Linked DNA regions of Lytechinus pictus. The protein of the gene in region 1 purifies or fractionates together with the protein of each later gene. This does not show direct contact. Links are inferred from orthologs where the notes say so. Each region holds a gene or a part of one and is shown in the gene's direction. Other genes may lie near its edges.

Region 1 (10,877 bases):
GTGTATATTTTCGATGCACCACGTACAGTCTCTGACGAAATTCGTCCATTGTCGGATAATTTTCGGATCATCGGTTTTCCGGTTTAGATATCCGTCCAGTGTAGTATACTCGTGTTCATACAGATTATATTTTTAGATTTTATATTCTGTGGTGAAAATTGTGTGTTGTTGGCAATGCATGCAAATCTGTGTTTTAGTTCTTTTTGCCATGATGGCACTTTTTGGAGCAAGATAAACCTGATGATCGTATCAATATTTTCTTATTTGGTATCTCAATATCTAGTATGTCTCCATTCGAATGGTTCAAGGTTTCACAAGAATACTTTATTATCATACTACGACTGCTTTCTTGTAGGTCTAATTTTCATGCTATTGTCTTACTAGATTCACCACTGTGATCATCATATCATGTACGATCGTGATGTTTCCCGAGAAAAAATCATATCATTAGGAAAGTTCATTACTTTTCCATAATAGTTTGTTTAATTTACATGAAATCGAGGGTGAATGCGAATTCGACATACAAGACCATGTTCGAAGAAAATGCCAAAATTTTGAAATCCGAAGCATATTTTCTTGTTTCATTATAAAGCGATAATCTTTTAAGCTAAATCATCGTTCATATTTCTTTTATTTATACACAGAGATACTTGTAGATAGCATATGGGGTTTGCAGGGTATATAACTTTATAAAAAAACTGTGGAAAATCACTTTCCTTTTTTGATCATTCATCTACATGTATTTATCAACATTGTTTCCTATTTTCCAACTCTTTGCTCATTTCCTACGCAGATAAAGTTCATCGATCCCAATGCATGGACCGCGGAACCTGGGGGCTCGGAAAGGGGAGCCTCCCGTCCCTCATCCTTTTTTTTTCTCAATAAACGTGTAGAAAAAAACTTTAAAATGAACATCTGGTTTAGTTTTTGTATGATAAGCCAAAATTTCCCAAACCGTTCACTCTTAAAACAGATCAGTCAAATTGACTAGACCAGTAGTCAGCTGGGAGCAACTGATATGGCAATCACTGATAGTCACATATCTGACATATATTCTAGTCAGAAATAACTCTATTTTAGTAAAATAGTCAAATATGACTAGAATAACAGTTGCTCCCAGCTGACCCTATTAACCAGTCATTTTTTACTGATTTGTTTTTAGAGTGTTCCGCGGCCCCTGGATCGTACATTTTTTTAAATTCATACTCTAGATGGCATTTTTTTATATTCTAATAATGGGCTGTTATCGAACATAAAACATCGCATAACGACTGTGCTGTTATAGGTGAGAAATGGAATAGGGGAATAATAAGATACTGTTATAATTGGGTAATGTCTATTCTTTTCACCTAAACAAACAGTTTTGATTTGAATTTCTTTCCGAAGCATTGAACCCTTCATGAAATATGATTTTTCTTATTTGCATATTGTTTAAATTTTCATGGATGTCTGGCCTATGCTTGTCCATTTTTTGTTCCTGCTGTTTTGATTACGCAGCAAAGAAGTCTCCTCTATTATTACGCGAGTTGCCTTTAATCTATAGAATGAAATATGATATATAATGTAAATATTTGATCTAGTATCATCTCAATAATTGATTTCATCTCAAAGAGTCGATATTTTGATTGATTTTATCTGTTTTTATGCTTAATGTGGCCATTGTTCTGAGTGTGCGTAAAATGTTAATAAACTTTAATGCACTTTACTTTACGGAGTATACCCGCTCTTTTATTTGAGTCTATTTACCGGCAAAGCTATTTTAAAGAATCTATGTTGATGAGTATGGGCGTTTCGATCAGAGGTTGTGTGTGCGTACGTGGAGGGGGGGGGGTATTGGATGGGGAATAATACCTGGTGAGTGTTTCATAAAGCTGTTCGTAAGTTAAGAGCGACTTTAAGAGCGACTGGTGAACCTTTCTTACGCGCTAAATAATCACTAATGAACATAATGGTGAACCGTCACTTACCACAAGAAAGGATCACCAGTCGTTCTTAAAGTCGCTCTTAACTTACGAACAGCTTTATGAAACGGCCTCCTGAAGTGTTAGCATCTCTGAAATGAAAGGGATATTATAAACTCAAAAAAGTTTGGAAATCTGAGTTTGGCCATTAATTTCTCCCAACTCCCAATTTTACACAATGCATATTTGATATCATTCAAAATATCATTTAATTCTCTTTAAAATTATACCCTACATGATATGATTATGGTTCACATGGAGGTGCAGTGCCTTGAAATGAGGGGCAGGGTCAAAATTCAAAAGTTGCAAAATGACACAATATTGAAAGTCACTGTTCTTTTTTTCGTGGTGATGAGTGGGTTTCTGATCGGTTTCTTTTATTTTCATGCACCTTAACATTAAAGGACAAGTCCATCCCAATAAAAATTTGGTTTGAATAAAAGGAGAAAAATCCAACAAACGCAACACTGAAAATTTCATCAAAATCGGTTGTAAAATAAGAAAGTTATGACATTTCAAAGTTTTGCTGAATTTCACAAAACAGTTATATGCACATCCTGGTCGGTATGCAAATGAGCAGACAGATGACGTCACCCACTCACTATTTCTTTTGTATTTTATTATATGAAATATGAAAAATTCGAATTTTCTCCTCATTGTCATGTGGAACAAACTTTTGTTCCTCCCTGAACATGTGCAATTACCATTATTTTAACAGTTTGTGGTTGAATCAAGTTGGTCCCAATTGTCAAATCTGTAAAAATTGAAATATTGTATAATTCAAACAATAAAAAACAAAAGAAATAGTGAGTGAGTGACATCATCGACTCTCTCATTTGCATATCAATGAGTTGTGCATATAACTGTTTTGTGAAAAATAAGCAAAATTTAAAAATGTCATAACTTTCTTATTTTACATCCGATTTTGATGAAATTTTCAGTGTTATGTTCGTTTGATTTTTCTCTATCCATTCAAATCAACAAATTTTTGGGGTGGACTTGACCTTTAACATGGAATCAAACACACCTCTGCACAAGCAAACACATAACTAACAAACAAACATGCATGTGTATTTCAAACCATGTTATCTCACAGATCTCCATGTTAATGTTGCTGTTAAGGTGCATGAAAACAAAAGAAACCGCTGAGAAACTCACTCATCACCAAGAAAAAAAAAGAACAGTGACTTTCAATATTGTGTCACTTTGCAACTTTTGAATTGTGACCTTGTCCCACATTTCAAGGCACTGCACCTCCATGTGGACCATAATCATATCATGTAGGGTATCAATTTAAAGAGAATTAAATGATTCATTGGTATCAATTACACATTGATATTCACTAAAAACGAGGAAGGATTGTCGATCAAAGTCAGATTAAAACTTTTTTTGAGGGGTTTATAATTCATGACCGAGAACTTTTCCAAACTCCTTTGCTTTCTGTTTTATGAGATTTTTTTTCCTTCTCTTTTATTACTTTTTTTAACACAAAGTATATTGATTTTATAAAAGTGTTAAATTGATCAAAAACCTCCACATTCTTCGATGCATAGGCCTATCCTCCCCGGTGAAGTCCATACATACTCAAGGGCAGTGTCGGGATAGGGGGAGAGTATATGATAAGGTGCCGCGACCCCCTCCCTCTCAACAATGAAATAACAGGAATATGCCCTATACTCCCGTTTCCCTTCCATTCTTTTGTCGTATCCCCATCCCCTTTTAAAATAATTTTTATTATATTTTTCTCAAACTCATACTGCGTCAATGGCACAGTGAGCCCGATATTTTGTATGGGCACAGTTGGGACAAAAGAAAATTGTATTTGATAAAAAAATGAGTGGTAGCGGAGCAAGCGAGAAAAATTAAAGAATGGAAATATGTGATAGATTATGACTAATATATATGTCACTATTTTCTTTCTTGTATCCTTCTTTTCTTTCCTCATTCTTGTTTGTTTATGTTTGGAGGAGATAAATCCCCAAATTAAGTAGGCCTATGTCGTAAACTTTTGAAAGCCTTATTACCTAAAAAAAATTAATAGTGATTGACTTGAAGAAAAAGTCCATCCCAGCAACAACAAAAAAGGAAAAACTCCAATAAAAAAAAAATCATCAAAATCAGATGCAAAATAAGAAAAATATGACATTTTAAAGTTTCGCTTAATTTCACAAAACGGTTATATGCACATTCTGGTCGGTATGTAAATGAGGGGACTGATGACATTTTCACTCACTATTTCGTTTGTATTATCATTATGAAATACAATATATTTTAACTTTCCCCTCATTATAATGTAATACAAAGTTTCATTCCTCCCTGAATATGTAAATTACCGTTGTTTTAACATTTTCTGCAGTCCATTTATCACTGTCAAATCTGAAAAACTGGAATATTGAATAATTAAAACAGTAAACGAAATAGTGAGTGAGGGAGGGACATCATCGGTTCTCTCATTTGCATATCACATATTTGTGCATATAACTGTTTTGTGAAAAACGAGCAAAACGTTAACTATCAGATTTCATTTTACATTCGATTTTAATGAAATTTTCAGAGTTATATGCTTGTTTGAATTGATTCAAATAAAAAAAAAATTGAAATATTTTTTTAGGGGAACTTGACCTTTGAGAGTTAAGACTGATTTTCTTGAAACGATTGGCCAATAGAAATCTATATATTTTACTATTTTATGTCCATCACAATAGATCGGATCGAATGAAATAATTTGAAACCCCCTTTATAGCAGTGCAAATAACGAGCTGTCACTGCAATGAGCACGACACTGACATCAATTTTGATTGCCTAAAAGGTATAGGCCTAATCAATTAAAGATATATGCGAATTATACAAAATTATGTCGATGCAAAGAAATCATGAGGTGTATATGACATATCATATTCAATATATGGAGAGAGAAAAATAATAAAGGCCAACAGCTGCATGAGCAGATCGATCTAGTGCCAGTTCAATTATAACGAAACAATTTTATTAAACATCACCTAAATGATAAACTATACTCTACATGACTAATGTTATACATGTAAAAAAGTTAGAACAAAAAGCTAAAACTTAGTTCTACTCCCTCGTAATTCCACTGCATCTTCGGATTGACCCCCCCCCCCAAAAAAAAAAAATTATCGATGGAAATGAACTGCTATTGCACATCAGCAGGTGCGGCAATTTTTGTGAGGTTTTTGGTCCATTTAGGGGGAGAAAATCCACCCTAGTGTTTTGTGTGCAAATTTTGAAGCCCCCCCCCCCCCACCCGGGGGATCGCAGTCCACCATGCAGATCACCCCTTTTTGCCTTTTTTAATTTTGGCAATGTTTTGCAAGCCCGCCCTCATCGCTCGTGCTTATCTTAAAAATGGCAGCAGCTGATAGTGAGAAAGTGGAAGGAACGATGACCAGTCCGGCTGAAGAAAAACCCTCAAAGGAATCATTAAGTCAGGTGGTGGACAGTGAAAGTAAAGATGACGTAGATCTCGATCAGTTATTGGACAGTAAGAGCATTCTCGATTCTCACATGACCATAAAACCCAACGTTGTTGTAAGGGGCGTTGAAAATTTCGGTCCCACATGCTTGTTTTTGCGTATGCACCAAGTCTAACTAATTTGTCAAAGTTTTTGTTAATGACAATGTTATTCTGCCGAGTTTGCGTGATGTGGTGGAAACATTTGAAGTCTTCCTCCAATTAAAGGTTGGAAATTGATGGGTGCAAGTACTGTTTGCACTTGTAATAAAAAAATATAGGCCTAGGCGGTAGAAAATATAGGCCTAGGCGGTAGGCCCTATTTATAAAATATTTTTTTGTAGGCCTAGGTCTATTTCACCCAAGGCCAAGCAAGGGTTCATTACATGCCGCCGCGCACAGAAAAATCAAGCCATAGAAGTCGTGTGTTGGGGACCCAAGAAGTGAGATCCCAGCACGCGCGACCCACTAGTTAGAAATCCACTGCCAAACGCGGTTCGTGGTGCGAGCGAGGTTAGTATAGGGTAACGCGCCCGGTATTCGGTCACCTCCCAGAATTCGGTCAGACAGCTGTTTCAACAGCTGTTGAAAAAAAAAAAATAATGCATGAGCCAGAAAACTTTGGCATATCATGCAAGAAACCAGCACTTCCAGCCCACCTCAAAAAAAATGTCGATTAAGACAAGCACACAGCCAAAAACTAACCTTAAAATTGACCGCGTCGGGGGGGTTTTGTTTACTTCCGGGTTTCTTAGCTATTGAGTTAAGCGGACGCAACCTCATGTAAACTCTTGTGACGTCATGACTTTGTGTGTAGGTGTAGTGAATTTGGTACGAGTGTGAAGGGGAAGACTTGTGTGTTCACCCAGTCGCAGCGAATATGCAACTAGCAGTGAAACTGATGAGTAGCGAGGGCTTATACATTGCCCCTATAGTGAGAGGGCGCTCGACCAGAATTCGGTCGCGCAACATTGAGTGTTTTGCCGGTGTGTTTGTGAGGAGGGAAGAGCGTGCAGATACGTTGCTCCTCGCAAGTGAAACACTTATCTTAATCCATTTTTTGTTCTGTTAGGCCTAAATAAGTTTAGAATATATCTAAAATTATTTTTCATGAATAAAAATCTTAAATCAAAGATGTTTATTGCCTATGAAAATGCAATTTGAGCAGGTGAATGACGATGGTGACGAAGTTGGTAAATTTGACCAAGGCTCATTTTGATTGCCTTTGCGTGATTGAGTTGAAGTCTACATCTTTCTCAAATGATAGGGCAAATGATATGCCTACGTTAGGCCTAAATAAGTTAAGAATATACCTACAATTATTTTTATTAATAAAAATCTTAGAACAAAGATGTTTATTGCCTGTGAAAATGCAATATGAGCGGGTGAATGACGATGGTGACGAAGTTGGCGAATTTGACCAGGGCTCATTTTGATATTGCCTTTAACGTGATTGAGATTAAGTCTTAGTGATTTCCTTTTTGGCCTCAATAGTCAAACTCAACCTCAATAGTTAAACCGTGTTATTTTTTTAATGTTATCATAGTTATTTTCAATATTATTATTAATTTGAATAATACATCCGGTTCCAGGGATGATGGACCCCCAAGAAAAAAAAAATTAAAAAGGCTCTTCCACGAGTGTTATTTTAAAAGACGTCATTGCTAGATCAAAGGCTGGAAAATTGCCCCTCAATTTTGCCCGTCCCTCACATATCAGAGGTCTGCGGCTAATTTTTTTGGTCGTTTTAATTTAAAACAAGGGGCCTTTTAATATTGTCATCATTGCTAATAACATCAATCGAAAGTGGATGACAATGTTGACGAATTCGGTTAGAATTATCAGTTACTGTTGTGAATTCAATTGGAATTCAGTTGCCCGAGTTAGGCCTAAAGTGATTTATAGAATTAATAAAATGTTCCTTTCGTCTAATATTAATTTTAAATTCTTTGAGTTCATACTTTCAATGACTTTTCAAACAGATATCAAAATCTTTACTAACAGTATATCAAACAGCAGGTTGACAACTCGGTATTGGATGGTAGACAAGATGTCAAAAAGGAGGGCGTCTTAGGTATATGGGATACCTAAATCAACGCATAGGGATAAAGTAGGTCTACATCTTTTTATTTACTTAACCATACTCTGAACTTAAACTATTATATCAATCGGTAATTTCCATCATGCTGTGTAATTCAAATGTTCTAAAATTTTTCCTTACCAGTTTCTCCACAGATCGATGGGAAGACACCAGTAAAATCGCGGCATGGTTCCAGCCCTTACCTGTCCGTTGCTATGAAAGCAAATTTGGCGGCATTGGAACAGCGGATGGCAAAATTCGGGGTGAAGAGACTAGAGTTTCAGCAGATGATTCAAAATTAATTGTCGGTCTCGTCGTTATTTTGTCTTTCTTTCCCATTTAATTTTTCTCGTTCATTTTTGGGGGATTTAAAGGACCATTGATGTAGTAAAGGAAATGACAATAGCGAGGGCAGTAGTTTTGTGTTTTAATATGGAACCAGTAAATTATGATATTGAAGGAAGTTGCAATAAAACAATGAGCATAATTATGAAAAGGATAGTGTAAGAATAATAGATTAAGGCCATTATGATGAAATTAATTTATGTACATTATCTTCATTCAAATTATTTCATCAAGAAGGCGTACCACACTTGTATTCAAGAAAGATTTAGCATTGAGTGAATTAAAGATAGTCTTCAATGACCTCTTATATCACAATGTTCCCTAAAACTTTGTTTGATTTATCAAAGGAATGATATGAAATCCAAATTTCCTCTTCGCTTTCCCTATATCGGAGGCCGACGTAGATCTTATAAGTATCATTGAGCCATTAATTTTATTGTAAAAAATAAACTAATATAAAATCCAAGAAATTACAAAGAAAATATATATTCTACGCAGTTGTTACGCCCTGGTACTAATTATTTTGCAGTACAATAATTATTTTTACATTCTATTGTTTGTATTCATATCATTCTTAATTTTATATAAATTTAATGTATTGTACGTAGATGGCCAAACAGTAAATTTTGTTACAGAGTATTTGATTTATTGATTTCTTTCCATTTATGAAAGACAAGAGTATGAAACTTATTTGCCATTTGTATTAATTCTACATTCACCTTGCCATTCATTTCATAGACTGAAAAAAATAAACAATATCTTGACTGCAAAGACGTGAAGTTTCAATAACATGTTGCCCATTTGACTCTTTGTCTGTAATGAAATTGACTGAAACGATGATGCTGCGCCATTTTCTGGTTGATTCCGTTTTGGATTGTTGTATTAAAAATTCTGAGTGATTGAAAATTTATATAATCTTAACGAGAGGGGATTGATATGGTCAGCAGAGCAGAGGATTAATATTCATTGGGGACCTCTATTGTTGCATCCACCCCCTAAAAAATACAAAAGATAATCCTCTTCTCCGATGCCCATAGTTTGAATGAGCTAGTGTTGATCTACTATTTGACATAGGTTGTGTGGCTGATTATCTTTTGGTGATTGACTGGAGCGACTAAAAACAAAAACCAAGTTATTTGATAGATTTTCATGAATGACTATCAGGACTATCGGGATGGCAGATTAAAAATATGATTTTAGAAAATTATGAACATTAAGTAAAATCTCCAAAATAATAGATTCTACTCAGTAGCGGATCCAGGGATGAGCCCCCTTAATTTGACACTTTTATCATGTAAAAAGAAACGGGAATTACGGGTACACGGACCTTGCTCCCCGCTTGGATTCCCCACTGTACTGAATTACCAAATAAGCAAAATAATAATAATAATAATAAACAGACCAAAATAATTAAAGACTCCCTCAGACAAAAACAGAACCCCAAACAAGCGAGCATGCATCTGAAAATGAAAACGGCAAACGGGTATGAAACCATGCAAGTTGGAATGTTACCAAAACAAAACACAAAAACAACATAAACATAACATCGAAAAGCAAAACAAGTGATTGAAAGTAGGAAATTGAAATTCATAAACAAAATATAAGAACACAAAAACCCCAAACAAACGAGCATGCATCCGGGGCATGCATAGGAATATGAGAACGGCAAACAGGTAAGAAACCATGCAAGTTGGGATTATATAAATACCAAAACAAAACAGAAAAAAATAACATGAAATGTAACGTCGCAAAGCAAAACAAGTGATTGAAAGTAGGAAATTATAAATCATAAACAGAGTAAAATAATACAAAAGGAGTTTTGCCTGTAAAAGAGGGAAGAAAAAATACAAAAGTTAATTATTAAACATGTATTTTCATAGAATGAATAATGAAACATATATATTCAGTTTACGCCATCACATGGCGAAATTTCAAACAATACCGTTCAGTCTCAATTCTTCCACCTGTTCTGTTATTTCTAGTGGACTAATTAGGTTTTATTGTTGCTATTATTAAAAAGTAAACACTAGAAATGCATAATTAAGATGTGGAGATCACATAAAAGGAATAAAAAACAGTAAGCATAAGAGAAATTCGAATAGTTAACATCAGATAAATCGCGCGTTTTCGCGCGACCGAATTCTGGGCGGCGTGACCGAATACTGGGCGGAAAACACCACCTCGGTCTATCGGCAATATTTTGTTCAACAATATTCAATATTCTAAATGAGTTCAATAATCTGAAAGAGGACAATTTTTTCTTTCTCCTGGTCGGTGGATTTACAAATAAATGAGGTAGGTATTTATTTTACCGGCGATTTCCCCTTAAGTGACCGAATACCGGGCGCGTTACCCTACTAATACTTAGACCAAAAGCTTCAGTCTCTGTATTTTGGTTGTTCCGCTGAACTACGTTGGCTCCACTCACCATACATAAATGGTAAATGGGGATTACAGTAAAATGTCAGAAATTGTTGAATAAATCCCCAGAAACGACGGTTATTCCTGTCTAACTAATACTAACCTCGCAATACGTGTGAGTGGGTCTATTTCTGAATCCTGGGCACTGGGGTCTGGGCTTTTTACGTTTTTTATTAAAATTTTTTTTCTCTGTATCACTTTTCCCGAACGATGCTACTGCAAAAGCCCCCCCCAAAAAAAAAAAAAATTGTTTTGGGGCGGGGTCTTCCTTGTCCCACCCCATTTGGTGCACCACTTGTAGTAACACTATTCAGGAAAAAAAAAATCAAGTTAAAGATTATCACTTGTTCACTGCAACTATCCTGCTTGTGGGGAATCTACAGGTAGGACTATGGTATGCCAATGTTGTACAGAGCACACACTTTAAAGAATCATTAAAATATCACTTTTGTGACCAAAATTACTAATTTCCATACAGTTGCAATTTATTTTTCATTAGTAACTTGGGAATAATTTTTGTATTCACCAGAGCGCTCAAAAACTTGATTTTTGGGCATATTTTTGTGTATGCCCTCTATTGGTGGAAAGTAATTATGGC
Region 2 (11,682 bases), on another chromosome or scaffold:
AAAAAAATAAGGAGATATGGGCAATAGTGATCAAGAAAGTTATAAAGACAAACAAGATAGAAAAAAGGTATGGAATTGACACATACATGTACCGTATGGGAGATGAAATAACATAAAACAATAAAATAAGAACTCATGACATTTCAAGGGGAAAGCAAATATAAAGAAAGATGTTCAGAAAGATTTAAAAAGTCACTTTTGTACAAGATTGTTACAAAAAGTTTGATTTGATTTATTGATTTCTGTTTAGTCTATGGAAATGTATGTAATACAATAAACATAATGTATGTAATACAATAAATATTATAAGAAAGTCAAAAATATTTCAAGACATACATGTAATATACATAATTATAAATGTAAGGAACACAATATAAAATTACCTCAGAGGTTTAAAACATTTTTGACATACAGAGGTTTTACATGTGTCACCAGGAAAAATTTCAAAAAGAGCCTTGCACTTTTCAAAATTGCGTGGCGCAGAGACTACCAGTGCACGAATGAACCGATCAAGCTGCACAGAATCACAGTCCTATCGGTATTAAGGTTCTTTTAAAGTCATATTTTTTCGCAAAAAAAAGACAGACAAACACAGATGAATAATACATCAAGGCAGGGAATAATTTTCCTGGTATCGCATCGCAATTTGCTCCACATTTTTAAAGACTGCTATGCATAAAGTCTTTTGTATCTAGCATATTTTTACATAGGACTGTACATAGTTGAGAGCTTTTCTCTCATAACCATAAATGCGATTCAAATCTGTACAGCAAAATTATTCCCTGCAAGATACCAGTCAAATAAGTAATTCATATTAACAATACATAAATTTATAAATCAATACAAAATAGGCCTACAATTGATTCATTCATTTTTTAAATTCAGCCAGACTGCAGAGCCCTATGCTGATGAGCGAATAGGGCTCTGCAGGGCAAATAAGCAAGGTTTCCTCTAAACCTCTCGTAGCTGAATTCACCTCCCTGCAAAATCTCATGAATTGTGAACATTTCTTTCTCAAAAGATTTAAACACTTTATCCTCAGGTGAAATCAAATATTATTGCATTTGCATCATTGTTAAGAGTAAATGTTACTCTTTTAAAATGGTAATTTATTTTGAATGAAATATTTTGATGAATTTTAGGCCTGAAAAGATGTCTCAAAGTGGAATTTTCTTCCTCTGTTTTCCCCCCTCACATTGTGCAAAACCTTTTATTTTGAGCAACAATAAATATCTATATCATCGGAAAGCTCATTCTCTGTAGTTTTCTTACAATGTCACTCTTAAAATGTTGCACCTTGGAAATGGGTCGGGATCCAGCAAAAATAAGATACAAGACGAAATTTCAGAGTAGCATGAAATCCAGAATTCTGATTGACTGGATAATGTTTCAAAACAACATGCCCAGGTAATTTGAAGAGATAACCACATGGTGAGTAGTCTGCAGGCACAGACCCTGATTGAAACTTTGATCAACAAGTGTGTCTCCACGCAAAGACTAGCAAAACTTGCTGTTTCAGGGCCTTCAGTGTGTGTGTGTGTATTTGACTTTTGTCAGACGTGTATCAATCAGATATGATTATTTACGTCTGGGACCAACCTTTAACGTCACCATCTGAAAGACGTGACCAGGGCTCGAACCTCTGCATCAATTTGTAACTTCCCCACATAGCTTGTATTACAGGCGCACGCCACAACGCCCAGTACACAAGGTATGAGTAGGCTGCAATTCAGACCCTTTACTCGAGTGAAGGGTTTGCACAGCAGACTATCCTATGGTGGCGCTAATAAAATTCACAACCTTGATTCAGCTCCTCGGTAATTTTATAACTGTGTCTATAAAACTAAATTCTTTGAATGCGCAATTCTACTTGATTAAATATGGGCACAAATGAATGAAATACCTTCAAAAACATTTTAAGATTATTATTGGCAATGATAACGCATAACGTACATTACAGTACTCAGCAGAACAACCAATGTACATGATTTACAGACTGAACCTTTTTTGGTCTAGGCCTAGATTTCGACCACTCACACTAGTACAAGTTAGTATGCTATATAGGCCTACTAAGTACTAACCTCGTACACTGAACCGTGTTTGGCCCGTGGGTTTCTATTCTAGTCGTAAACATCGCTTCATTACAGAAGTACATGTAATATTTGCTGAAACTCCTTCTCGCTACTCACCGGGGCTCTTTCCAGTGAGTAGCCATACAATCGTATTTATTTTTTTTATTTAAAAAATAAAAATCATACAAAAAAGAGCAAATTTGCTTACCTCGGCCTGGAAAGTGACTTCGCATGTCTCTCCTACGGAAATAAAAGGAAGCCCGATGGTGGCGCTAATAAATTTCACAGCCTTGAATTTTTATTCAGCTCCTCGGTGTGTCTAAATTCTATGAATGCACAATTCTTATGATTACTTGATAAAATATGGGCACCAATGAATGAAATACCTTCTAAAACATACATGTAATTTAAGATCATTATTGTCGATGATTACACTTTTTTGCAAATATAATTTAAAACGATGACTAATTTAAAAATAGAATCTAAATAGAAAAAATCTAGATCTATGTAGAGTCTAGAATCTAGATCTACGTTGACAAAAAACCAGCAGTACAAGCTTTGTTAGTTTGTCAATAATACATCTACCAAAGTCTATGCAATGAAAAGATTGGACACTTCACGGACTTCGCGCAATGCTTTGCGTGTAAAATAGTTAAGATGTCTAGTCTTTTCCCTTGTCGTGTCTATGAATATAAATAGCGTGCACTTTTTAGGCCAAAAATTATTGTAGTTGCCGTGGGACAGGCAGTGACGTCAAGAGCAAGAAAATATGAGGAACAGGGGCCCGTTTCTCAACACCGTCATAAGTCTAACTTCTTGACTATTCACGAAGCCCTCTTTGCCGAGATCGGGTACAACAACCTGACTAAATATTTATGACATCTCCGAACCTGTCATAACTTCTTTCTTAATGACGTAGTGGCATCACATGGGTAGACTATGACATGAACAATTATAATCTTACGTAATCAATCATAGAGGTTAAAATTACATCACAAAACAAGTCAGATAATGCATTCAATGATAATTGTAATACAAAGAAACTAAAAACTGTTGGTAAAACGCCACAAAACCATTCATTTTGAAATAGTAAAATAATTTAATCGATAAATATTCTACCACGTCAGGCCATCCATAACTGGACTCGTATTTGTCGTTTTTAGACCACTATTAACATTTGGATAAATTCTATCTATAATTTATGCATAGAATTTGTCAAATCATATGTTTTGGTTAAACTATATTTCTATGATGTTTGGAATCATAAAGGACGGTATAATTATCATCATTTTACAAAGAAAATCGTTATGGTTTACTTTCGTAAACTATTAAAATTGGAGGTACCCATCTCAACGTCCACATGCGATTTTTTAGTCATAACATGGATAATTCATAATTTCATTTTCTCAGCAATTGTATGCTCCAGTCTTCATGGTCTATGCATGTACATGTATGATGCATAATTTAGGTGCTTTTATATTGAAAAGATGTATTTCCCAATTCATCATATTTGCAATGTTGTCATAATTTTCCTTTTTGAAAAATATACAGATGTACATCTATGCTATTTTGTGACTAAGGCTACGTCTCATCTGCTCTTTTAACCGATAGTATCAATATTACAGGGCTCCACACTAACCCTTTTTTTTCTACTGGTCCAACCTATTCATGTCGGACCAGAAGATACCCAGTTTTTCCATTTTTTACTGGTCCGAACCTAAAATCTACTGATCCCAAAAAATTAAGAAAACATTAAAAAAAGGCGCGAGTTTATTTTGCTGTCCTTTCTTGTTACCCCCCCCCCAAAAAAAAAATGAAGGAATGAAAGTAAAAAAAAGAAAGCAAGACAGAAAGAAACAAAGAATAAAAGAAAGGAAGGAAGAAAAAAGAAAAGGTAAAGAAATGATAGCTGTGAAGGAAGGAAAAAAGAAAGAACTAAAGAAAGAAAGAAGGAAAGGAAGGAAGGAAAGAAAAAAAAATAAGAAAGAAAGAAAGGAATGAAAGAAAGAAAGAAAGAAAGAAAGGAAAGAAATGAAGCAAGCAATAAAGAAAGAAAGAACAAAGACAGAAAGTAATGAAAGAAAGAAAGAAGGAAAGAAGCAATGAAAAAAGGAGAGATGGAAAGAAGGAAAAAAGAAAAAAGAAAAAGAAAGAAAGAAAGGAAGGAACAAAGGATTGAAAGAAGGAAGAAAGGAAGAAATAAAGAAAAGGTAAAATGATAGATAGAAGGAAACAAGAATGAAGGAAAGAAATGAAGGAAGGAAGCAAGCAAGCAATATAAAAAAAGAAAGAAAAGGTAAAAGAATAGATAAAAGGAAGACCAAAAGACAAAGAAAGAAAGAAAGAAAGAAAATGTAAAAGGATAGATGGAACGAAGGGAAAAAAGAAAGAACAAAAGACGGAAAGAAGAAAGGAAGGAATGAAACTAAAAGAAAAAGAGAAAAGGCTGAAAGGAAGAAATGAAAAATAAGAAAGGGTAAAGAAAGGATGGATGGAAGGAAGAAGGAAACAAAGAAAGTAATAATGAATGAAGGAAAGAAAGAAAGAAAGAAGAGAAAAATATAGGATGGATGGACTCAAGAATTAAAGAAAGAAATAAAAATAAAAAAAAGAAAGCGAAAAAGAAATAGAGAAAAATATTTCTTTAAAGGACAGAAAGAATAAAAGAACGAAAGGCAAAGAAAATAGGGAAAATTATAAAAGAAAGACAGTAAAAAATTGAAAGATTAGAGGGAAGAAACAAAGAAATAAAGGATAGAAAGATAGAAAGAAAACAGAGGAAGAAAGCTCAAACTATCATCATAAATAATCAGTTTCTTTTTGGCTCAATCAAAATATAGCTACGAAAGAAACCCGTGTATTTATTGGCTAATTCAAGTATTTTACAATTCACGCTTTTCATCGGCCGATTGAATTTTTTATTTTTTTAAAATTGGCACTGCTCATGATATCGTCGCCCTCTCGTATACGCGTCTTGTAACTAGGCTACGAACAAAGACGGAAATATGGCGACAAGATCATCTGTGACTGTGGGTATCTGCTCATCTTCTTACATGATTTTTCTTAATATAATATTTGTATAATTATTCTTGTAAAAAAAACGTTATGAGTGCCTAATGGGGGGAAATGAACTTCTTTTCCATTTACAAAATTGTGTGATAAGCAAGTTAAACAAATCAAGTATTTTGGAGCAACATTGTTGTCTCCAAGAGTCCAAGGCAAATACCCTCCTTCGTGTGGGCCAATGGCTATGGCTTGCCGTGCCAGGCTTCATGGGAGTAAGCCTACGTACATGTTATAGATGACTTTTACTCCCCAGAAGCCTCCAGAGTCCAGGCTATGACAATGTGAATGTGCACAAGGAGAAATTGAAAAAAATAAAAATGTTAAAAAACTCCTCGAAACAGACGGCTGCCAGCCATGCGCTATAGTACGTAGCAGCTGTCTATCGAGTATCGAGAAGAAGGATCAGCTTATACTATTTACTAGTCATATAGAGAGTTGCATGCGTCGTGCCTTGATTTTCCCATGCACAGCGGCATCTAATGTCTGAACCCTTGGCTTGAGTGGACTTCGACCAGCCAAGGCAAGGGCAAGGCCAACGGGACGATGCGGCTGGGCCGGAGCTGAGCGAGGGCTGCGGATGACGTCCACGGACGTGCGGGGTGAAAACTTGAAAGGGGGTGAAATTATTTTTGGCGTAAACTTACCTAAAAAACTTGCTTTCATGTAGCAATTGAATATATCAACGTCCATATTGAATTTGAAGGGTATCAAGTCCAAGACCGGAGATGCGAAATAATCGAAAAATGATTAAAATTAGCAATTACCACCGAAAATCGAAAATTTCCGGCTTCATGTTGACAGTCAATACTCCCTTATTGGTAAAGTTCATTTTACAAAGGGGAATATATACAAAGTGCAAAAGGGAATCTCTATACCGGGATATATATCTCTCTGGTTCCATTACTACTTCAAAAAAAAAATAATTATTTTTCTGCATTATTGCTCTCTGTTACTGTAAAAATTAATGTTATTATAGATCTAACTTTATTATCTCCCCTTCTAGCAGACAGCTGATACTCAACTCCCCCATAAATCTTTGACTTTTTCCAATAAAATCGACCAATCATAGCTGACGTTCTTTTCTTAATTATGGCCAATGCATGGGAATAACCCAATTAGAGCCGCGCTCTAAGAAAAAAGAGACTAAAATATTAATGCTCGCCGAAATTATCTCGCCGAGATGGAAACCAAGAAAGAGGGACCGGGATCACTTCAAATGCTCTTTCGAGCTTATTTGAGATTTTTAAAGGAGAAGCCTATCATTACAAAATCGCTTACAAGGTTCGTCAGTTTAAACCAGTCTTTTTACAAAATTGATATTTGGGTTAGTCTAAAACTCGAAAAGAAAACGAGCTGCGTCTCGACTCGAGTCACGGCCTGACATGATCATTGGCGGCGCGTGCGAATAGCTATGCTCGCGAATCAATAGCTGAAATCACATTTCCGTTATTTTGTATCTGTATTGCACGTGAGTTAAATCGCTGTTATTGGCTTCTGTACAGGAGAAGTTATCAGTCATGTCGGGGGGGGGGGGGGGGGCAATATGCCAATGTTGTTTATCTTGGTCGTAGAAACTTTAGCAGAAAGAATGGAAATGTTTTTATTTTCAATTTTAGTGGGGGGTGCATATATGGAACTCTTTCCGAAAGAATCGGAAGAAATAACAAAATCGGCGAGTCAAGCATTTTGGTGCGTTGAAAATGGAGGACGTATTTCCGTACCTGATAGTGATGTGATGTGATGATGTGATGACAGAAAATAGTTAGGCCTAAACATTATTTTAGTATCGCCTATCGGCTGAATGAATTCGGCTCCTGTCCTCAGACTCCTCACATGAATGAATGACAATAGTGATTATGCAGACGACACGCGTCTGTCAGTTTTGTGTTTTTGTCAATTTTGAGAGGGAAGTCTAACTTTTAACAGGCTAACTGTTAGTCGCACTTAGTCGGCATTATCCACTTATTCAATGAACGAGGTTATGAATATGATATAAGTTATAACCTTGTTCTCAGAGACTCAGTTACATCTCGATATCTCCATGTGTGGCAAAATAAGGTTGGCAATGTTTGGCTATTTTCTCTTTATCTTTGGGACAAATGCTTGATTTTTTTACACTATCAGTTTCCATTACAGCTTTTCATCTTATAACTTGGCTAATAAGTAAATTTGATTTTTTTAATTATTTTTTTCTTAATTAAAAATAGAGATTGAAAAATGAAAATTTTCTTGCCATATTACTTTCCACCAATAGAGGGCGTACACAAAAATATGCCCAAAATTCAAGTTTTTGAACGCTCTGGTGAATACAAAAATTATTCCCAAGTTACAAATGAAAAATGAATGGCAACTTTATGGAAATTAGTAATTTTGGTCACAAAAGTGATATTTTAATGATTTTTTAAAGTGTGTGCTCTCTACAGCATTGGCATACCATAGTCCTACCTGTAGATTCCCTACAGGCAGGATTGTTGCAGTGAGCGAGTGGCATTATCCTGGTTTAAGTCACCACTCAATTCACTGTCCATTTTTTCAGCGGCGGTGACTTCTTTCATCTCCCATCGACTTTGTATATAACGAGCGCACACACACTGACACACACGAGAAGAGAGGTGACTTATTTCAGGATAAGGCCATGTTAGTCTTCCATGAAATTAAGAATTAAATTTGGATATGTTGATGTTATTGCTGGCGCTAGTCCAGTTGTTATTTTAGGCCAAGTAAAAAAAGAAAGTAGTTGATCGTCCTCACGCGCGCATCTTTTTTGGCTGCAGTATGAAATATTTTTCTATTCACTATTTTCAAAAATTGGCTTAAAAAATATAAAAAAGTGATGTTTTTCGTCCGCGCCCGCTTCCCTTTTTGATTGCCGCATCAATTTTCTTGATATTTACTATTTTATGGCTGCTGAAAAGCGAAAAAAATACACAAGATTGGCGAGCGATTTGCTCTCATGTGCTCTGGGATCTCTCTCACAACTTCCTGAAACAATTGCAAAGTCCGATATCACCATAACTGCGATAAAGAGAAGACTTCTGAAAAAAATTCTGATTTGGTTTTTTATTGGTAATTTTGAAGATACAATCATAAATTAGCGAGAAAACTAAGTTTCCAAACTTGGAAAAAATCACAGATGATATTATTACTATAGTACTTTGGCCTTTAGAGTATTATAAATTGATAATTTTAAGAAACGTACATAAGAAAAAGAAAAGATATTATGGTTTACCTTTGTGAAGGAATTGAAAATTAGATTAGACATTATTGGGGCTAAGGAAAAGGGGAAAGAAAGAAATGTATATTTTGCCAGTTATTTTGCAAAATGTATATCTGAGTTTTGTTTGTGACATCGATTTTTGATGAAAATAAATGCCCCTGATTTGGGTGAAAGAAAATAGTCCCGGGGGGCGGGGGGAGCACTTCCATTGACAAGTGGATACCAGGCGCAACCATGGAGTTTCAAAAAGCACCCTAAATAAGTAAAATATTATCTCGTAATATTGGTGTAATTAATAAGTTAAAACACTATTTTCTTTCCGTCACATTACTCATATTATACTCATCTTTGATTGTACCTTACCTTAATTATGGAATATTAGCATGGGGTAATACCCACAATTCTTTATTGGACAAAATATTAATTTTACAAAAGAAAACACTCCGAATTATATGGAATGCACCAGTTCGTTCTCATACAGATCCATTGTTTCTGAAACATAAAATCATGAAAATAAAAAATTTATATTTGTTTCAATTAGGTCAATTCATGTATAAATATAAAAATAATTCGTTGCCACGCATATTTGATTCCATGTTTCCCCGAAACCAATCCCTCCATAACTATCCCACCAGGCAGTCAAATGAATTTCACTTGCCCCTTCTTAGAACGCTTCTAGCACAAAATACTTACGGTAGTTATATACAGGTCCAAGATTTTGGAATTCCCTTGACGATGAGATTAAAGACGCCCGTTCTTTACTGTCCTTTAAAAACAAACTAAAATTTATGCTCCTAAAATCTTAATGAATTATATTAATATATTTATTATTCTAAACTAAAATTTTGTATCTTTTATTGCTAGTCTATTATCTATGTTTATACAGAACATGAAGCCTTATTTTTTTCCAGTTAGACATAAGATTTAAAATACAAAAGTTATAGCTTGTCTATACATTATTATATTCTACTTTTTATATTGTATATGTGTACATGCGTGTATATGTGTATGTCCGTATGTATGTATGTGTGTGTATGTATATGTGTGAATGCGTGTATATGTATATATATATATATGTGTATGTATGTGTATGCGTATATATGGTCATGTACATAATGTGCATGTATGTATAGCCATAATATATATATGCAGCAGATTAGCCTTGCATCCCTCTCCCTATCTCTATTTTTCTTATATTCTAGGCAGTGGTCATCGTATTACTGTCCACCCTCATGTACCTGTGTTGTGTTGTGTCGTGTTATTGTCTTTTGTCTCTGAATTTCACAATCCTGTATATAAGAATTTTTTTTTGCCCTTTTCGTTATCTTCATGTATTCCTTTACGTACTGTATATTTCAATATTCATTCTATCCTAACTTTTTGAGGGGTCCACATTTTACAAGCTTTGCTTTTCAGTGGACCCCTCCATTCTTCTCATGATATATAATTATATTGATTTAATTATATTGATATAAATTTGACATGCATGTTAATTTATATTTGAATCACTTATTGAATATGTATATCATTTATTCAATGTTAGATTTTGTTCATGCTTTTATTTAAATTGAATTAATTTATCTTGTATATATTGTATTATGTTGAAGAATGAAAATAAATTGAATTGAAAAAAAAAGAGTATTTTCCATATTCTGAAAATGCACCCCTTAAGAAGTTTTGGTGTGTAAAACCCTACCCTTAACAAGTGTTGGAATTTGGAAACAAAACTTAAACGGTACCCTTGATGAGTATTCCCTGAACTGAATTGACCCTGGCCCTAAACAAGTACAGCGATAAATTGTTGTGTCATGGACGTGATCACAGGCATCGGCTTTACCTTTACTTTGGGTTTAGTACCACCTCCCAAACCTCGCTCAAAACAGACGTAGTGTTGGGGCAAAAAGTACATCCCTTATAAACAGCATTTCAGTCTTTTTTTATACCCTCGCAAATACAACCGTAAACATGTAGTTTTCCTAGCGAAATATATACCCTTTTTTTCAGTATTTAAGTGTTTTTGACACCCTTACCTACGTAACGTGCCCAATCTTGAAAAAGATATCCTTTTTACACGTTTCTTAGGTCGCGCCTGGTATCAACTCGTCAATGGAAGTGCCCCCCCCCCCCCCCCAGTCATTTCCAACAATTGGGACTGGTTGACCAGTCACTGATGACGTTTGGGTATAGCTATTGGGGGAAAAAAGGGGGGAAACGAGTTGAGAGAAGAGAAAGGAAAAACAATTTGAGAGAAATTAGTGAATTAACCTAGATCTAGGCCCGGCCTAGCACTGTAGCAGGCTCGGATATCGGTGAGGAGTGAGGCCCTGGCCTCGGTCCTAACTGATAAGTGATATCCGAGCCTAGGCTTAGGGAAGAATTGGAAAACAGACTAGATTATCCAAATGCTGCCAAATTATAATCTTTAGCTGAGAGCCTCCAGTCTGAATATGAGGAACGTCCCTATTTACAGGGATTGTCTTCGTTATGAAGATTTCTCCACATAAAAATCTAGCCTTCATTCACTTGTCAAGTGCCGACGCCAATCGAGTGTGCTTATCAATTTAAACATATCAGGGTTTCATAATTGTAGAAAGATAGCCGCAAGTCATAAAAATAGACAGTGAACTTTGGTAGATTTAAGGTCACAAAATCTATTTTTAGCACTCTCAATTGCCTTCTATGTGACCCCGCAGGTGGAAGTGAAAAAAAAACCTGTCCTCATAAATAAGGACAGTCTTGGTTTTTATAGAACATTATTTCCTTATTTTCTGGGATGATCCTCATATTTGGACTGACGCCTCTACAATTCCTACCATAAGGTCAGTCAAGTATACAGATTTGTTTCGCCTTGTTTAATAATATATTAAGAAATACATCAAAATTCAAGAATCCATTTGGCTTTATTTTTCTTTCCTTTCAGTGGTTTAATTGCTGGTATTGGAGATGTCATTGCACAGAGGATAGTGGATCCTTCAGCACCTTACACAGTCAGGTCAACAGCAGCATTTGCAGTTCTTGGGTAAGAAAATCCATGAAGTCAATGTTCAATGGAAACATGCTTCTTAATAGTCTGAATGTTAGACTATATGCACTGTGATTGTACATAACAGAAAAAGTTCAACTATGCAGGCCTTCTGCCCGAACATGGAAATGTATGGCGAGCCGATATATCTGCAAGAATAAAAACATTCACCATATCTAAAAATTGAATTAGAAAAAAAAAACATGAATAAACAATGTAATTAGTTTGGAAAAATGAACTGGAAAAGAAAATATTTTTAATGAATGAGATATATATTGATAGTTTGCCATAGGCTACTATTCTAG

What was found. The genes of interacting proteins can lie anywhere in the genome.
Region 2: the proteins of peroxisomal biogenesis factor 19-like (region 1) and peroxisomal membrane protein 2-like purify together in Homo sapiens (affinity purification with mass spectrometry; 3 studies listed by BioGRID and IntAct, counting the BioPlex papers as one, with this or other methods). This does not show direct contact. The link is inferred for Lytechinus pictus from reciprocal best matches to the Homo sapiens genes PEX19 and PXMP2.

Annotation. Positions count from the first base shown.
Region 1 is NC_087252.1:8,081,760-8,092,636, forward strand, and holds the start of peroxisomal biogenesis factor 19-like, read left to right. Parts: upstream 1-5,303; 5' UTR 5,304-5,327; coding exon 5,328-5,463; intron 5,464-10,877. UniProt on the Homo sapiens protein: Necessary for early peroxisomal biogenesis. Acts both as a cytosolic chaperone and as an import receptor for peroxisomal membrane proteins (PMPs).
Region 2 is NC_087246.1:22,769,689-22,781,370, reverse strand, and holds the start of peroxisomal membrane protein 2-like, read left to right. Parts: upstream 1-6,256; 5' UTR 6,257-6,318; coding exon 6,319-6,419; intron 6,420-11,275; coding exon 11,276-11,374; intron 11,375-11,682. UniProt on the Homo sapiens protein: Seems to be involved in pore-forming activity and may contribute to the unspecific permeability of the peroxisomal membrane.